Arabidopsis thaliana: one gene and its partner. The protein of the gene in region 1 interacts with the protein of each later gene in a pairwise test. Each region holds a gene or a part of one and is shown in the gene's direction. Other genes may lie near its edges.

Region 1 (7,844 bases):
CGTTAGGTATCACCACACCTTCCCTTAACATATCCACAAAAGTATTCACAGCCTCTTCGTTCCGCCCCGTCTGGCTAAACCCTCCAATAACTGCATTCCAAGTAACAACACTTCTCTCAGGCATTGCTCTAAACAACGAAAGAGCTTCTTCAAATTCATGTTTCTTAAGGTACCCACTAATCAAATTGGTAATAGAAACTACGTTTGGGTCTCTAGTGTCATCAAAACATCTACGAGCATCTGTCAACGTACTCAGTTTCACATAACAGTTCAAAACCGCACTACCAACAAACACATTCGACGCAAGTCCCATCTTTAACGCATAACAATGAAGCTGCTTACCCAATTTGACATCTCTCGAAGTTGTAGAAGACCCAATGACCGTGCCAAACGTGAACTCATTTGGCCTTATGCCTAAACACAACAACCTTTTGAAGGCTTGACTTGCTTCCACATGTCTGCTTTCCTTCACAAAGCGACCAATCACCGCTGTAGCAGAAATGACATCTAACTCAGGAATTTCGTCGAACACCTTATGTGCATTACGTATCAGATCCGAATCAATATGTTTAACCAACTCGGGGATAGAATTTGGTGATTTGGTAACAAGGGCATTTGCAGAAGAGTGATATTTTCGTAAAAGGATTACTCTTTGAGATAAAATCATATGCAACATTCCTCGTCGTGAACCCAGGAACTGGGAGAGAGAACAAAAACAAGCAAACGAAGATGAATTCTCTAACCTTTGATTCCAAATTCACTCTTGGTTTAGTTTGGGTTTTCTCATACCAATCTCTTTGTTTTTTTATTCAATTTGATTCGGTTCGGTTAATTTACTTCTAATAAATTCCAATCAATATTGGTTCGGTTTGGTTTAGATTTTATTCAAATTTATTTGGTTTGTTCGAATCAGTTTCGGTTTAGCTCTGGTTTTATTCAAAATAGTTTGGGTTTTGCTCTCTTTGTTTTGTGATTCAATTTGATTCGGTTCGGTTAATTTAGTTTTAATAAATTCCAATCAAAATTGGTTCGGATTGGTTTAGAGTTTACTCAAAAATGGTTTGGTTTATTCAAATCAATTACGTTTTAGTTCTGGTTTTCTAAAAAAGTTCATGAGCACTCTATTTTACTCTAACCAGTTAGTCATAGACTCAATAAAACTTGCATCTTATAAAAAATTATATAAGATCTGATTCATAATAATTTAGTTAGAAGAAATTTGAGGAACAATAGTAACGGAAGCAAAATGTTAAAAATTCACCAAATAACTAAAATACAAAATTGCAACAGATGGTTCAAAAAATAGTTATCTTTCAAAGAATTTTTAAAGACGAGCTAATAAAAGAATAGAGACTTGGTTTAAGCCTTTCTTGCAGCACGACCAAAATACTTGGCCTTTTCCTCGCTGGTCTGGAAGTGACCATGTCCCCCCTTCGATGAGGTATCGACGAACTTGAGATTAATCACCTCCATCGCAAGACGAGAAGTCTGCCTTAGCAGTGACTGACGAAGAGTCACAACTCTCTTCTTTGGACCCATGCAGCAACCCTTAATCATCAAGTAGTCATCCTTCACTATACCGTAATGTGCGAATCCTCCCATTGGAGTTATTTCCTTCTCAGTCCTAAGTTTGAAAAAAAGACATACCCTTTCCTCTGTGACGATTAGCTCTCTTCCTTGGTAAGAAACCAAGAGAACCATGTCTTGGATGCTCAAACTTCCTGTGAGACATTCTTCTTCTCCTCCTAATTCGTTTCAATAAACAGTAAATTTGAAATCAAGCTCTAATCAAAATAACTCTGAATCAGTTCTCTATTGATTCGACTAAGATTCTAACTAAGTCTGAATCGTAAAATCTTTGAAAATGGAGGTGGAGGAAGAGAGAAGAAGAAGAACCTGAAACTCCGATGAGCCCTGCGGCGTAAGACTCTGACGAGAAGTGAGGAATAAAAAACCTATTTACGTTCCTTTTATACAAAACCTTAAACACGTTTTTGAACATTTTTAAAATGTGAACCCATTTTCCTTATTGGGCTTCACAAAAGCCCAAATCAATGGAAATTAGGGTAAATAATTGTGCCCTATATAATGTCATCTTCATCTCTCAGCTTCCGTCTTCTATACCATACTCCAAATCTCGTTTTTGTTCAGTTCTTAATTTCAGTCTGCACTTTTTTTTCTTAGGTTTGAAGAGATTGATGAAATCAAATACATCGATCGCTAGTGTCTTGAAGACGCGATGAGCGTCGATTTTCCACACGAGATTTCTGACTCTTGATCTGTTTTTTTCTTTTTCGTCATAAAAAAAAATTGATTTGATTTCTTTGGTGGACATTAGATAGTATCATCCCTTTTATAATAAACAGTGACAAAAAAAGTTGGGGAAAAAAAAAAAATATAGTATCATCCCCAGCATGTTATTTTTAAAAATAAATTTAGTACATAACAAAATGTTTACGGATGTTAAAAATAGTATTTGGATCAAATATTAATCATAATCATGACAAGAAACACTTGAACCCCACAAATTATAAGCATAAACAAAACAACTCAAGATCTTTAAACGAAAACAAACAAAACGAAAATCTGTGACAGTGTATTCTTCTACTTTTTCTTAAACCAATTCAATCGAGTGTTTTAAGACCATTTTGTCTGTCCTATGACGTATGTTCTGTTCTGTTTCGCTTAGTTTTACGGTTTCTTATGGTTTTGAGCTCATATGATTTTGTTCTGAACCCTTGAATTCTCTAATAATGAAAGCAAATTATGTAGATATGAGTTTGTTCTGTCTAATTATCTTAGTAATGATGTTGTCTTAAAGAGTTCGTGTTTGATGCTTTCCTTAGGTGTGTTTGGTCTAGGTAACAAGTAATGAAATGAGTTTGTGTTTGATGCTTTTATTAGATGAGTTTGGTCTAATTATTTTAATGCTTTTACTAGAATCCAAAATATTTATAATTTATCATTTTAAAAGTATGATTTATTTCTCTTAAAGAAATCCATGCATGACTCTACCATTAAATAATAAAAAATATAAGAATTCAACACAAACTCTAAACTTTGAATTGTTCAAATTTATAATTAAAGAAAAAAAATAGAGTCACTTTATCATTGAAAATTGTCTTAGGGGTATAAATTAGTTTAAGCAACTAAACCTTGTAGTTTAATTGTTCCAAAACTATAAGCTAACTAATTTTGATATCAAGTAAAGAAATTCCCACTTCATAGCAGAAATTTTCAAGCATTTTACACATACTTCGTAACCACCAATATCGTCAAGACACGTGTACAACCTGCGTAGACTTTCTCCAGCAACAATCGTTGACTTGTCTTATCTACGACTACGACTCAATCAAAACCTTACACTTCCTCCTCCGTCACTATCAATGGCGGATCATCTCTTACTCTCTCTTTCTCAATCTCTCTCTCTCAATCTCATACTGATCCCAAACACTATCCATGGATTACCAAATCTCACTAATCCTAGCCACCAGCATAAGCTCCATCTTCCTCTTGCTTATCGTCTTCACCGTCGTTATGATCGTATGTCGCCGTCGTCCTCCAATCCAAAACCATCCTCGCCGGAATCGTAACTTCCCCGACCCCGATCCCGATCTAAACACGGAAACAGTAACCGAAAGCTTCGATCCATCAATCTGTGAAATATCCATGGCGGAACTCACTATAGCAACTAAAAACTTCTCATCGGATCTTATCGTCGGCGACGGAAGTTTCGGTCTCGTTTATCGAGCTCAGCTCTCAAACGGCGTCGTAGTCGCCGTTAAAAAGCTCGATCACGACGCTTTACAAGGATTCCGAGAATTCGCAGCCGAAATGGACACTCTAGGTCGTCTCAATCACCCAAACATAGTTAGGATCCTCGGTTATTGCATCTCGGGATCAGATCGGATTCTTATCTACGAGTTCTTAGAGAAAAGTAGTCTTGACTATTGGTTACACGAGACTGACGAAGAGAACAGTCCATTGACTTGGTCAACGCGCGTGAATATCACGCGCGATGTGGCCAAGGGTTTAGCTTATCTGCATGGTTTACCGAAACCAATTATACATAGAGATATCAAATCGAGTAATGTGCTGTTGGATTCGGATTTCGTGGCGCATATTGCGGATTTCGGATTGGCGCGAAGGATCGATGCGTCGAGGTCGCATGTGTCGACGCAAGTGGCGGGGACGATGGGGTACATGCCACCGGAGTATTGGGAAGGGAATACCGCGGCGACGGTTAAAGCTGATGTTTATAGTTTTGGTGTATTGATGTTGGAATTGGCGACGCGGAGACGGCCGAATTTAACGGTTGTTGTGGATGAGAAGGAAGTTGGGTTGGCTCAATGGGCTGTGATCATGGTGGAGCAAAATCGGTGTTATGAAATGTTGGATTTTGGAGGTGTTTGTGGTAGTGAGAAGGGAGTGGAAGAGTATTTTAGGATTGCTTGTCTTTGTATTAAAGAGTCGACTAGAGAAAGGCCTACTATGGTTCAAGTGGTGGAGTTATTGGAGGAGTTATGTCGATTTATGTAGTCATATTAATCCAATAGGTAAATGTAATTAGTCTTTTTTATCACACAAGTGAAGTTCGTTACATATTGTAATAATTGGGTAAAATATTCGGACCAAAAGAAGTTACAAAATAAGTTTCTATGTTCTGCTTATTTACGTTTTAGTTTTAGAGATTTATGTATTAGGAACTAGAGTGTTTTGTTTTTTGACTTTACGTCTATGTGCTAAACATCGGCTGAGATAATTAACTTTTAGGATCTTCTGTCAATCTTTAAAATTCTATTGATTTTTGAATGATTGCAAAGAAAACAAAACTTGAAGTGATTCTATCAATTTTAGGTTTCATTTAAAATCATTAGAATTGAGGATTTAGAAAAGGTAAAAAGGCATTTGGAACTGTTTAGTGTTTACCATGACAGATGAAGGAGCACACACACGTACTGTTGCAGTAAAGTGAATAAAAGAAGTTATTCTAAACATGAGAGATTCGTGAGCTTTATTTTATCGTGCCATACAAATATACAATCATACTTTAACCATTGTTCTCTGCTATGAGATAAGAGATGCTTCTTTCTTTCTTTCTGCAAGCATTTTATTTAATTTGGACTCCAAAAATAAAATTAAACACCTTGATTAGACTGTTTAAGAAGAATTCAGATTAATTATCAAGACTTGTTTTCAGAAAAGTATAAAATGAATGTTTTCAGGAAAAAAATATAAATGATTTTATTTTTTTTGGTAAAATATATAAATGAATAATGATAAATAAGGAAAGATACTACAATTAACATATATATACTCATACAATCATACGATGCTTCTTGGGCCTAGGTTAGCGAAAACCATGAATAAGATTGATTAATTAGGTCAAACTTTATCGTACGATACATTATTTAAGAGTCTCACCGATTTTGTGTTCATATCTCTCATCAGATAAGAAAATACAAATACGATCATGAATGGAGAAGAAAACTCAGATTCCATCCCTATCGATCTCATTCTTGAGATACTCTCGAGATTGCCTGCAAAGTCAATCACTAGGTTTCATTGCGTCTCAAAGCTATGGGGTTCCATGCTTTGCCGTCCATATTTCAACGAGTTGTTCTTGACCATATCGTCAGCTCGTCCACGTCTCTTATTTGCCTTTTCAAAACACGGTGAGTGGAGGTTTTTCTCGTCGCCTCAGCCTCAGAATCCATATGGGAAGTCATCTTTTGTAGCAACTGCGGATTTTCATACGAAGTTCTCTCAAAACCTAAACATTTGTAACTATACTTCTGGTTTGGTATATTTCTCTGCTATGTGGATCACAAAGGCAGATGTCATATGTAACCCTAGCACGGGACATTATGCGATGTTACCTAAATTGTTGTTGACGTATGGAGAGACGAGAAGCTTTTTTTTGTTTGATCCGGTTGGCAAGCAATTCAAGGTATTGCTCATGAATAAGATAAACAATAATGAAACAAAGGACATTCATATTTTGACATTGGGAACTAGAAAAGTGAGATGGAGGAAGATCCAACAATGCCCCTTGATCCATATTGTTTCGCATGAATGGATATGCATCAATGGGGCTTTGTATTACATAGCTTATAACATTGATGATTTCTTGGGGTATATAGTTTGCTTTGATGTCAGGTCCGAGAAATTCAAATGTCTAAATCTAAACCAAGACTGTTTTTCTGAACGATCTACTAAATTGATATACTATAAAGGTAAATTAGGTGTGGTTAATTTGAAGTATGCTCATGGCGGTGGATTTCCCCTTAAGTTATGTATGTGGGTTCTAGAGGATGTGGAGAAACAGGAATGGACAACATCTGTGTACACTTTGAGGGATGAGGATAGAGTCGTTAAGGTTTACTACGATCTTTTTATTGTTGGGATAACTGCTACAGGTGAAATTGTTTTGGCGAAGAAAAAGGTATGTAAGCCGTTTTATGTCTTCTACTTTAATCTCGAAAGGAACACTCTCCTAAGTGTTGAAATCCAAGGTTTTGGAGAATACCAAAGCTGTTGTAGTGTTCACGCCTTTGTAGACCATGTAGAGGATCTTAATGTTTACGCCTTTGTAGAACATATGAAGAAAACATATGAATATGATGCAACATCAATAAGCCCATCAGAACAGAAGCTTTAACCCACCTAGAGATGATCATCAAGTGAAGCTCGGTGCTCACCTGGAACAAGTGCTAGCAAATTCAATGCATTGGGTCTTTTTGATGATGGTTAATTTACTGATGCTTCCCTTGCAAGTTTTCTTCATAATATTGCAGTACATTTTTGTTTTATTCAAATCACAACCATGACTGAAGTTTTCTTCATAACATTTATTACATTCTAGCTATTTGGCCTGTGAGTATCACTTCTCATTTGGGAAAAATGTTATTTAATACCTGAACTTTCAAAAAATGGCCAAATTAACCGTGAACTCTTGAAATGGTCGTTTTATACCTCAACAAAAAGTTGACTTCTAATTTAACCTATAATTTATCGTTGACTTCTAATTTAACCTATAATTTGTCGTTGACCCGGCCAAATAGACTCACCGTTAACACTCCTTAACAGCGCTCCTAACAGCCGTTACAAAACATGGCCTAACAGCCGTTATTGTTGGTTTAAGGACAAAAACAGTTGTTAGTTACGCTGTTAGGAGAGCTGTTAAGAAGTGTTAATGGTGAGTCGATTTGGCCGGGTCAACGATAACTTATAGGTTAAATTAGAAGTCAACTTTTTGTTGAGGTATAAAACGGCCATTTCAAAAATTCACGGTTAATTTGGCCACTTTTTGAAAGTTCAGGTATTAAATAACATTTTTCCCCTTCTCATTTACAATTTTCACATTACTTGGGAGCATATGAATGTTTTTATCAGAAGTTCTTTTAAGTCTTCTCCAGTATTCTTGTTTTCACTATCCATATGAATGTTTTATCAAATGGAATATACTCTACATTTGATGTCATATTCTATAAGATAAATAAAGGAATATACTCTTTGAGTGCTACGTAAAACAAGAACATGTGGTCATTGAAGTTATTTCCATGGAATTGGGTAAAAAGATATAAATAACACAAAACATTTGTATAACCAAGGAAACTTTAGATCGAAGCCTAGACACTAATCTCCGAGGATCCGATCTCTTGGTTTAGATAACACAAAACATACAAAAATTATAACAGAACAAATTGTACCTGAAGACTATGTTTCTTTCTCTATCCATCTGTCTCTAATCTTTTGTGCGGCCAAGTTCAACATCTTTTGATTGTGTAGTTTCTACACCTTCCTTCAAAAGTTCAAACTCTTCCTCTGTTAAGCTATGTTTC
Region 2 (7,387 bases), on another chromosome or scaffold:
CATCGGGTTCCGCAACCGGCTTGTCGATGGGATATGGCTAACCCAGAGGAGATCAACACTATAGTCGTCTACAAAAAACCCGATCCTCACCTATGGAACAGAGTAAGTGATATTTTGTTTTTGAGAGATTCATTTTTGGAAATTTTAAATTAATCTGTTAATGCTTAGTATTTTCTTGGCAGTCACCTAGAAGAAACTGTTGCAGAGTATTACAAACAAAGAGGAATAATACATTATGGATCAATGTTGGTGTATGTAGAGCAGGTGAAGTCACTGAAGTAAAGTAATTTCTATTTTGTACTAAGAAAATTTTGAAAGAGAAAAATAATTAGGGGTTTTTGTTAGGCTTTTAACCATATAGTTTTGCTGATTAATTTATTTTTCCTCGTAATCTCATTTATTAAGTTCCAAATCTCAATTTATTCCATTGTAATCCGTGAAATATTTCGCCAAAGCCAGTTGGTTTAGTACCGAGGAAGAAAATATATAGGAAACTATATTTTAGTCTTCTGAAAAACTTATGTTATTAGTGAGAACTTATGTTATTAGTGAGAACTTATGTCATTAGTGAGAACTTATGTTATTGCTCCAACAATATGTAAAAAAGCAGAAAGTGTCATTGTAATTTAAGTCTAATGGTAATTGCTAAAATCCTCCTCAACTGAAATTTCATTCTACTCTTGCTCTATATTGCAACTATCTTAAATTTAAGGCAGGTCTTGATCATGTATAGACAAGGTTTTCTGGTTTAGGTCACTTGTGTAGAATCTAAATAGTCTAGTGTTGAAGTCTTTATAACCTATTTTAAAATTTTACTTTTTGAAGTAAAATTTGTTTGTTGAACCGAAGAAGATGATTCATAAATCAGAATCACAATCTTGAAGGCCATATATAGAGGCTAAATAAGATGGTGGAGCCATCCATTACTGCAGTTCTTTCTTAGCTTACAAACTTATACTAAATCGACTAGTCTTTAACATTATTTTTTTGTTTCTCTTTTTCAATTACCGGTAAGCGATTAGCCATTACGTGGATCATATAGTAACTTATATAATATGATTACATCTTTACTTGATTCAAAATGTCTCTACTACAACAAATTCTATATTTGCAAGCTAAGGATTACAAATTTGATATCAGTTTGTTGCTAAATTTTGAAAACTCAATGTGTTGCTAAATTTTGAAAACTCAGTGTGTTGCTAAATTTTGAAGGTTCAGTGTGTTGCTAAATTTTGAAAACTCAGTGTGTTGCTAGATTTTGAAGGTTCAGTGTGTTGCTAAATTTTGAAAACTCAGTGTGTTGCTAAATTTTGAAGATTCTGCATGACAAAACTTTAAAGATATTTCTGAGAAAACAAAGTGAAACGCTCTGACATTGGATAATTCATTGTGTCTCTTTGTGCAAACCGAATATAGAACTACGACAAGATGACTTCATCACCGTTATGTCTGAATAATAAAGTACTAAAGAGTGTCTAAATGCGTGCGAATTAAAGTATGAGTGCGTCCAAATTATGGGTTTCGTACCAAAGGCCCAATATCAAAGAATGTGTATCTTTTAGTGGGAATAATAAAACGACAAAAAACAAGGATAAATTCACAACAAAAAAATGGAGATGCGGGGTATCGATCCCCGTGCCTCTCGCATGCTAAGCGAGCGCTCTACCATCTGAGCTACATCCCCATTTGCTCTTCTATATGAAATTTGAAGTATATAATATCTCATGTAAGGAGAGAATCATTCTTATGGATTCAAGATGATTTTAGTTTGGTAGGACCTATAGATTCAAGATCGTGTTCATATCTTCACTATCCACTCTTGAATCCCTGATGTCAAGATCCCAATAAATCCATCATTCGGGTATTAAATTTCTACCTAATATTAAAATTTGTTTTTTTTGTTTTGGTATATACTAAAGAAGACCCTTAACGTCACCACATTATCTATCACAGAAAATTGTATTAATATATTCTCTTTGTTTCTATACCAAGCAAAATATTTTACTATTTTACATTATACACTAAATAAGACCCACCATTGTTGATCAAATTGACTATACTTATCTTGAGCCGCCGGATTCAATTATTATAACTCCAACATCAATCTCACTATATATTATACTTGTCTCTATAATTCAACAATTCAAGCTTTATCTCTTTCTTTCTCTCCTCTCTATCTTTCTCTCACACTCATGGGTCTTCCAACAGATTTCAAAGAGCTTCAGATTCCAGGTTACGTACTAAAAACACTTTACGTCATCGGTTTCTTTAGAGACATGGTCGATGCTCTTTGTCCTTACATCGGTCTACCAAGTTTTCTTGACCACAACGAGACCTCTCGATCCGACCCGACCCGACTCGCTCTCTCCACGTCAGCAACTCTTGCCAACGAGTTAATCCCGGTGGTTCGTTTCTCCGATCTTTTAACCGATCCGGAAGATTGCTGCACGGTTTGCTTATCCGATTTTGTATCCGACGATAAGATTAGACAGCTGCCGAAGTGTGGACACGTGTTTCATCATCGTTGTTTAGACCGTTGGATCGTTGACTGTAATAAGATAACGTGCCCGATTTGTCGGAACCGGTTCTTACCGGAGGAAAAGTCCACGCCGTTTGATTGGGGTACTTCAGATTGGTTTAGAGATGAAGTGGAGAGTACCAACTAATAATGATGGTTTTACTTTTACTTTTTACTTTTTTCACGGTAATATTTTTCTACTGTATAATTCTTTCTTCCAAACTACTGTATAATTCAAGTATAAGATTATGTAATTGTGTATATTAGCATCAATCATCTTTCTTTGTTAAAGAACCGTCTGTATAAAATCTTCCAATGTAATCTGCTTTTCTTTTATTTGAATAAAAAAGTGGACAAATAAACACATCAAGTGTTATGGTATATCGCTATGTTAGGAATCTGAATTCATTTTCTTTTGAAGAAAAACAGTATTCATAATCTAATTCGTCTCTACCAAATAGAATTTGTAAACAGTTTTATACCGAAAAATATCTTAAAGAAACTCTTAATTTGTCTATTAAAATCCATGATACTATTTTTATTTGTACTTTATAAATTACAGAATGAATTAATACGTAAACTACCTTAGTCTTTGTCAAAATTGATATAAAGCAATATATTTTATTCAAAAAAAATAATAGTTTAGAAGATATTTCATCCACTATAAATCTATATGTCTTTCGACGAAAAAAACAAATTTTTGCCTTTCATAATATCTATCAAATGAATCTTTTTTATCATATTTAAATTCTTTCTGTTGTACTTTATATAACTACTACAAAATTGACATAGTTTGAATTAAAGCGGATAATCGACTTTTTAACTGATATTATTTGAGTTTTGCTTTGCTAAAATCATATACTATATTTAGGAAGAATTGTTAGAAATGCACATTTTCCATTACCACTTTTCAAAAATGTCATCTCTCTAAAACATTTATCAAAAATATCTTTAAAATCTGAAATATACCTAAATAAGTGTAACTTTATAAGAAAACTTAAACAAACTACTTTTATACGTTTGTAAAACTTTATAAATTTTTGGATGGAGTCTCTGAATAGTCGTTACCATTTTGAAGTAGTATTAAAGAACTTTTTTTTCTTTGAAAAATCCTTTAAACAGTGTTATTAAAATTCCTTGATGTCAATAGTCTTTAAACTGTGTTATTAAAATTCAACCATTCACCGTTTTGCAAAGAAAAGTATATAGAATATGTATTCTCTTTTGTTTTGACATCAATTTGGTTATACTTATCTTCAGCTGCCGGTTTGAATTGTACTCCAAACACAATTATAAATCTCACCATTTTTTATTATACACACTTTATTCTTGTCTCTATAGTTCCACATCTCAATCTAGCTCTCTTCTCTATCTTTCTCTAAATCATGGGTCTTCCTGAAGATTTCATCACCGAGCTTCAGATTCCAAGTTACATATTAAAGATACTTTACGTCATCGGTTTCTTTAGAGACATCGTCGATGCTCTTTGTCCTTACATTGGTCTACCTCGTTTTCTAGACCACAACGAGACCTCTGCACCCGATCTGACCCGACACGCTCTCTCTACGTCAGCGAGTCTTGCTAACGAGTTGATCCCGGTGGTTCGGTTCTCGGATCTTCCGACCGATCCGGAAGATTGTTGTACGGTTTGTTTGTCAGATTTTGAGTCCGACGATAAGGTTAGGCAGCTACCCAAGTGTGGACACGTGTTTCATCATTATTGTTTAGACCGTTGGATCGTTGACTACAACAAGATGAAATGTCCGGTTTGTCGGCACCGGTTCTTACCGAAAGAAAAGTACACGCAATCTGATTGGGGTTCTGGTTCAGATTGGTTTAGTGATGAAGTGGAAAGTACCAACTAATTGGTTTAATCTATGTCGGCAGAATATTTGTTGTATCAATTCCAGTATAACTCTATGTATATTAACATAGATCATCTTTTTGAAGGAACAACACTATATATATCTTTATACAAAAACAACACTATATCTAAGGATGTCAAAATGGATAACCCAACTCAACTTAACTCATAATCAAATGAGTTTAGGGTTAAATGAGTTATGGGTTGACCCAACTCATTTTGTTAAATGGGTTGGGTCAACCCATAACTTATTTAATTTGATGAGTTGAGTTGTTAAATGGGTTAACCTATTTAAATAGTAATTTAATTAATTATTATTATAAAATAATAATAAATAATTATCAATATTAATTCATTATCATCAAACTTAGGATATTTACCGATTCCACTTTTTACGGATTTACGTTTTCGACGAGAAAATCACGGGTTTACGTTTTTGGCGGAAAAATTATGGATTTACGTTTTTGGCAGGAAAATCTCGGGTTTACGTTTTTGGCGGGAAAATCTCGGGTTTACGTTTTTGGCGGAAAAATCACGGGTTTATGTTTTTTTGGTGAAAAAATTACGAGTTTACTTTTTCTCAATTTCATCGTTTGTATATTTAAGAAATTTGGAAAAATATTAATTTTATTAAATTGGTTTAGATGTGTTGATTAAACTTAAATTGACATTGGTTTAGAGATTTTAGTTGGTTTAATTCAATTTTACAAAACTTAATGGGTTAATTGGGTAAACCATTGAAACCATTAACCATTATAACCCAACTCATTTTACTCATCAAACCAATTGACTCATCAACTCATTTGACCCATCAACTCATTTGAGTCAAAATTTTCAACTCATTAAGGTTCATGGGTTGAGTTGAGTTGAGTTGACCTATGAATTTTGACCCATTTTGACACTCCTAACTATATCTATTATCATCAGATCAATGTACCGAGTTATAATTTATTTTAATATATTTTCTTGTTACAAAATTCATTAAACATATGTTTTTTTCTGATGGTTTTTAATACTATATAAACTAAAGAATGATTAAATATGTACAACTAACTAGGTATTAAAAAACGATGTTTTTTAAAAAGAAAATAATAACTAAATCAAAGACTTTTTATTTAAAACTCCATTTTATTTCAAAGATATTACATCTTTTGAAGAAATGTTTTCATTTTTGATATACGAAAAATAATAACAATTTCGGAAACATTTTATTTCGAAAGAAATAAAAATCGAAAATAATAATGATTTTTATTTATTTCATGATTATATTTATCAGTTAAATCTTTTTATCATATTAAAATTACTTCAACGTACTTCATAATATATGAATTTGTCAAAAAAAAAAAAAGTTAATAAAAAATACACATTTCTCATATAGTATATGTACATGGAAAATATGGATTAAAGCAGGATATTCGACCTTTTTACTTTTGTTATTTGTGTTTTGTTTGCTCTGTTTAAAACATATACCATATTTTAATATTTGCTTTGAGTTATTATGTCTATAATTTTTTTGAATAATCAAATCAAATTTAACGAATATTTTGCCATGTCCTACTCCTAGCTACAGAGTGTACCATTTGATAATGATAGGTAACTGATATGGAGTATATACTAAACTAAATTCCTAGTATACAAGAATCTTATTTGTTTTAGTAGGTTTCGTTTTTTTTAATCAGAAAAACCAAAGTTAGGTAAAAGTTTGTCAACAAATCGTGGATCCACGAATACATCGAATATCGTCTACATTCATTTGAAGTAGTGAATGACGCAACCGTTGAAATTGAACAGTCAAGTCAAGTGTACACTTTTGAATCTTCAGTCTTCCAATGTGTGTAAATAAATTTTCAATACTAATGATGATTCTGGGAAGGTTCATGATATGCACGACTTGTCAAAAGCTCTCACATTAAAATATGTAATTCTTTTTGTTTCTTAAAGTATAATTGAAATATGTATGTCTACATCTCCATATGATCAATGCTTTAAACCAAAGAAAATCATGTTTCTGCCAATTTGTGTTTGGAACAAATAAACCTAATGAAAGGTTAATAAAACCAATGTGTTTAGATTTTTTTTTTCCAAGTAAATTAGTATATAAAAAGAATATATTTATGTTATGTGAATAATGAATGCAATCTAAAAAATTACTATTTAAAGTAGGTCTTTTTCTACATTTTTTATATAATTAGATAAGACACGCCTAAATAGTTGGATTGAATATATAAGTTATTGATGGTGTATGAATTCTAAAAAGTAATCTGTATTTTCTTAATATTTAATTTACTAACTTTTTTAAAACCAAATTTTAATCATACATATTTCATATTTCTATACACTTTAACAATCTATTCCATCATAATAAACTTAAATTTAAATCTACATACTTCATCTAATTTATTTGAATTTTAAATACTAAATAGTAACACATACACTTTTTATATTTAATTTAATACTTTTTTGAAAAGACAAATTTCAATCTTACATATTCTATTTTGCAGTACAATTTAACTATCTATTTCATCATAATAAAATGGATTTTAATTCTACACACTTCCTCTTAATGAATAAGTGCTTAATGTTTTATATTAAAATAATATGTATATCACATTAAATCTATATCTTAGTTAATATTATAATAGTTAGCATATAACCAAAAAAAATCCACAAAAGTTTTTGAAAACAATCATTGTTTACAATATAGGTTTTCTATACATTGTAATCTCAAAAGTTAATTTTACCTCATGTCAAGCTAATTTTAAATAATTTAATATTAATAAATACAACATAAATAAAAACATTAGTAGATGGCCAAAATATAAGCCATTTTTTCAAATTTGTGGTGTTTTCAATTGTGACTATATGTGTTAAAATTCTTTGAACAAAACATTAGTATAATTAGATTGATATTCTCATCAAGTATTCAAAAATCCATTCTTATTAAGCTCATTATTTTGTTATTCTGAACTTCAATAGTCATCTTTTGTTTAATATCTATGCTAAAT

What was found. Proteins that work in one complex are often made in the same cells at the same time.
Region 2: the proteins of AT5G42440 (region 1) and RHA1A interact in a protein complementation assay, tested with the Arabidopsis thaliana proteins (one large-scale study listed by BioGRID).

The regions. Positions count from the first base shown.
Region 1 is NC_003076.8:16,970,129-16,977,972, reverse strand, and holds AT5G42440 (Protein kinase superfamily protein), read left to right. Parts: upstream 1-3,095; 5' UTR 3,096-3,459; coding exon 3,460-4,539; 3' UTR 4,540-4,771; downstream 4,772-7,844. Other genes in the region: AT5G42450 (Pentatricopeptide repeat (PPR) superfamily protein), read right to left, coding at 1-676; AT5G42430 (F-box and associated interaction domains-containing protein), read left to right, coding at 5,474-6,661; AT5G42420 (Nucleotide-sugar transporter family protein), read right to left, coding at 7,748-7,844.
Region 2 is NC_003075.7:6,903,874-6,911,260, forward strand, and holds RHA1A (RING-H2 finger A1A), read left to right. Parts: upstream 1-3,614; 5' UTR 3,615-3,903; coding exon 3,904-4,383; 3' UTR 4,384-4,569; downstream 4,570-7,387. Other genes in the region: AT4G11350 (transferring glycosyl group transferase (DUF604)), read left to right, coding at 1-102, 183-287; RHA1B (RING-H2 finger A1B), read left to right, coding at 2,193-2,666. UniProt on the Arabidopsis thaliana protein: Probable E3 ubiquitin-protein ligase that may possess E3 ubiquitin ligase activity in vitro.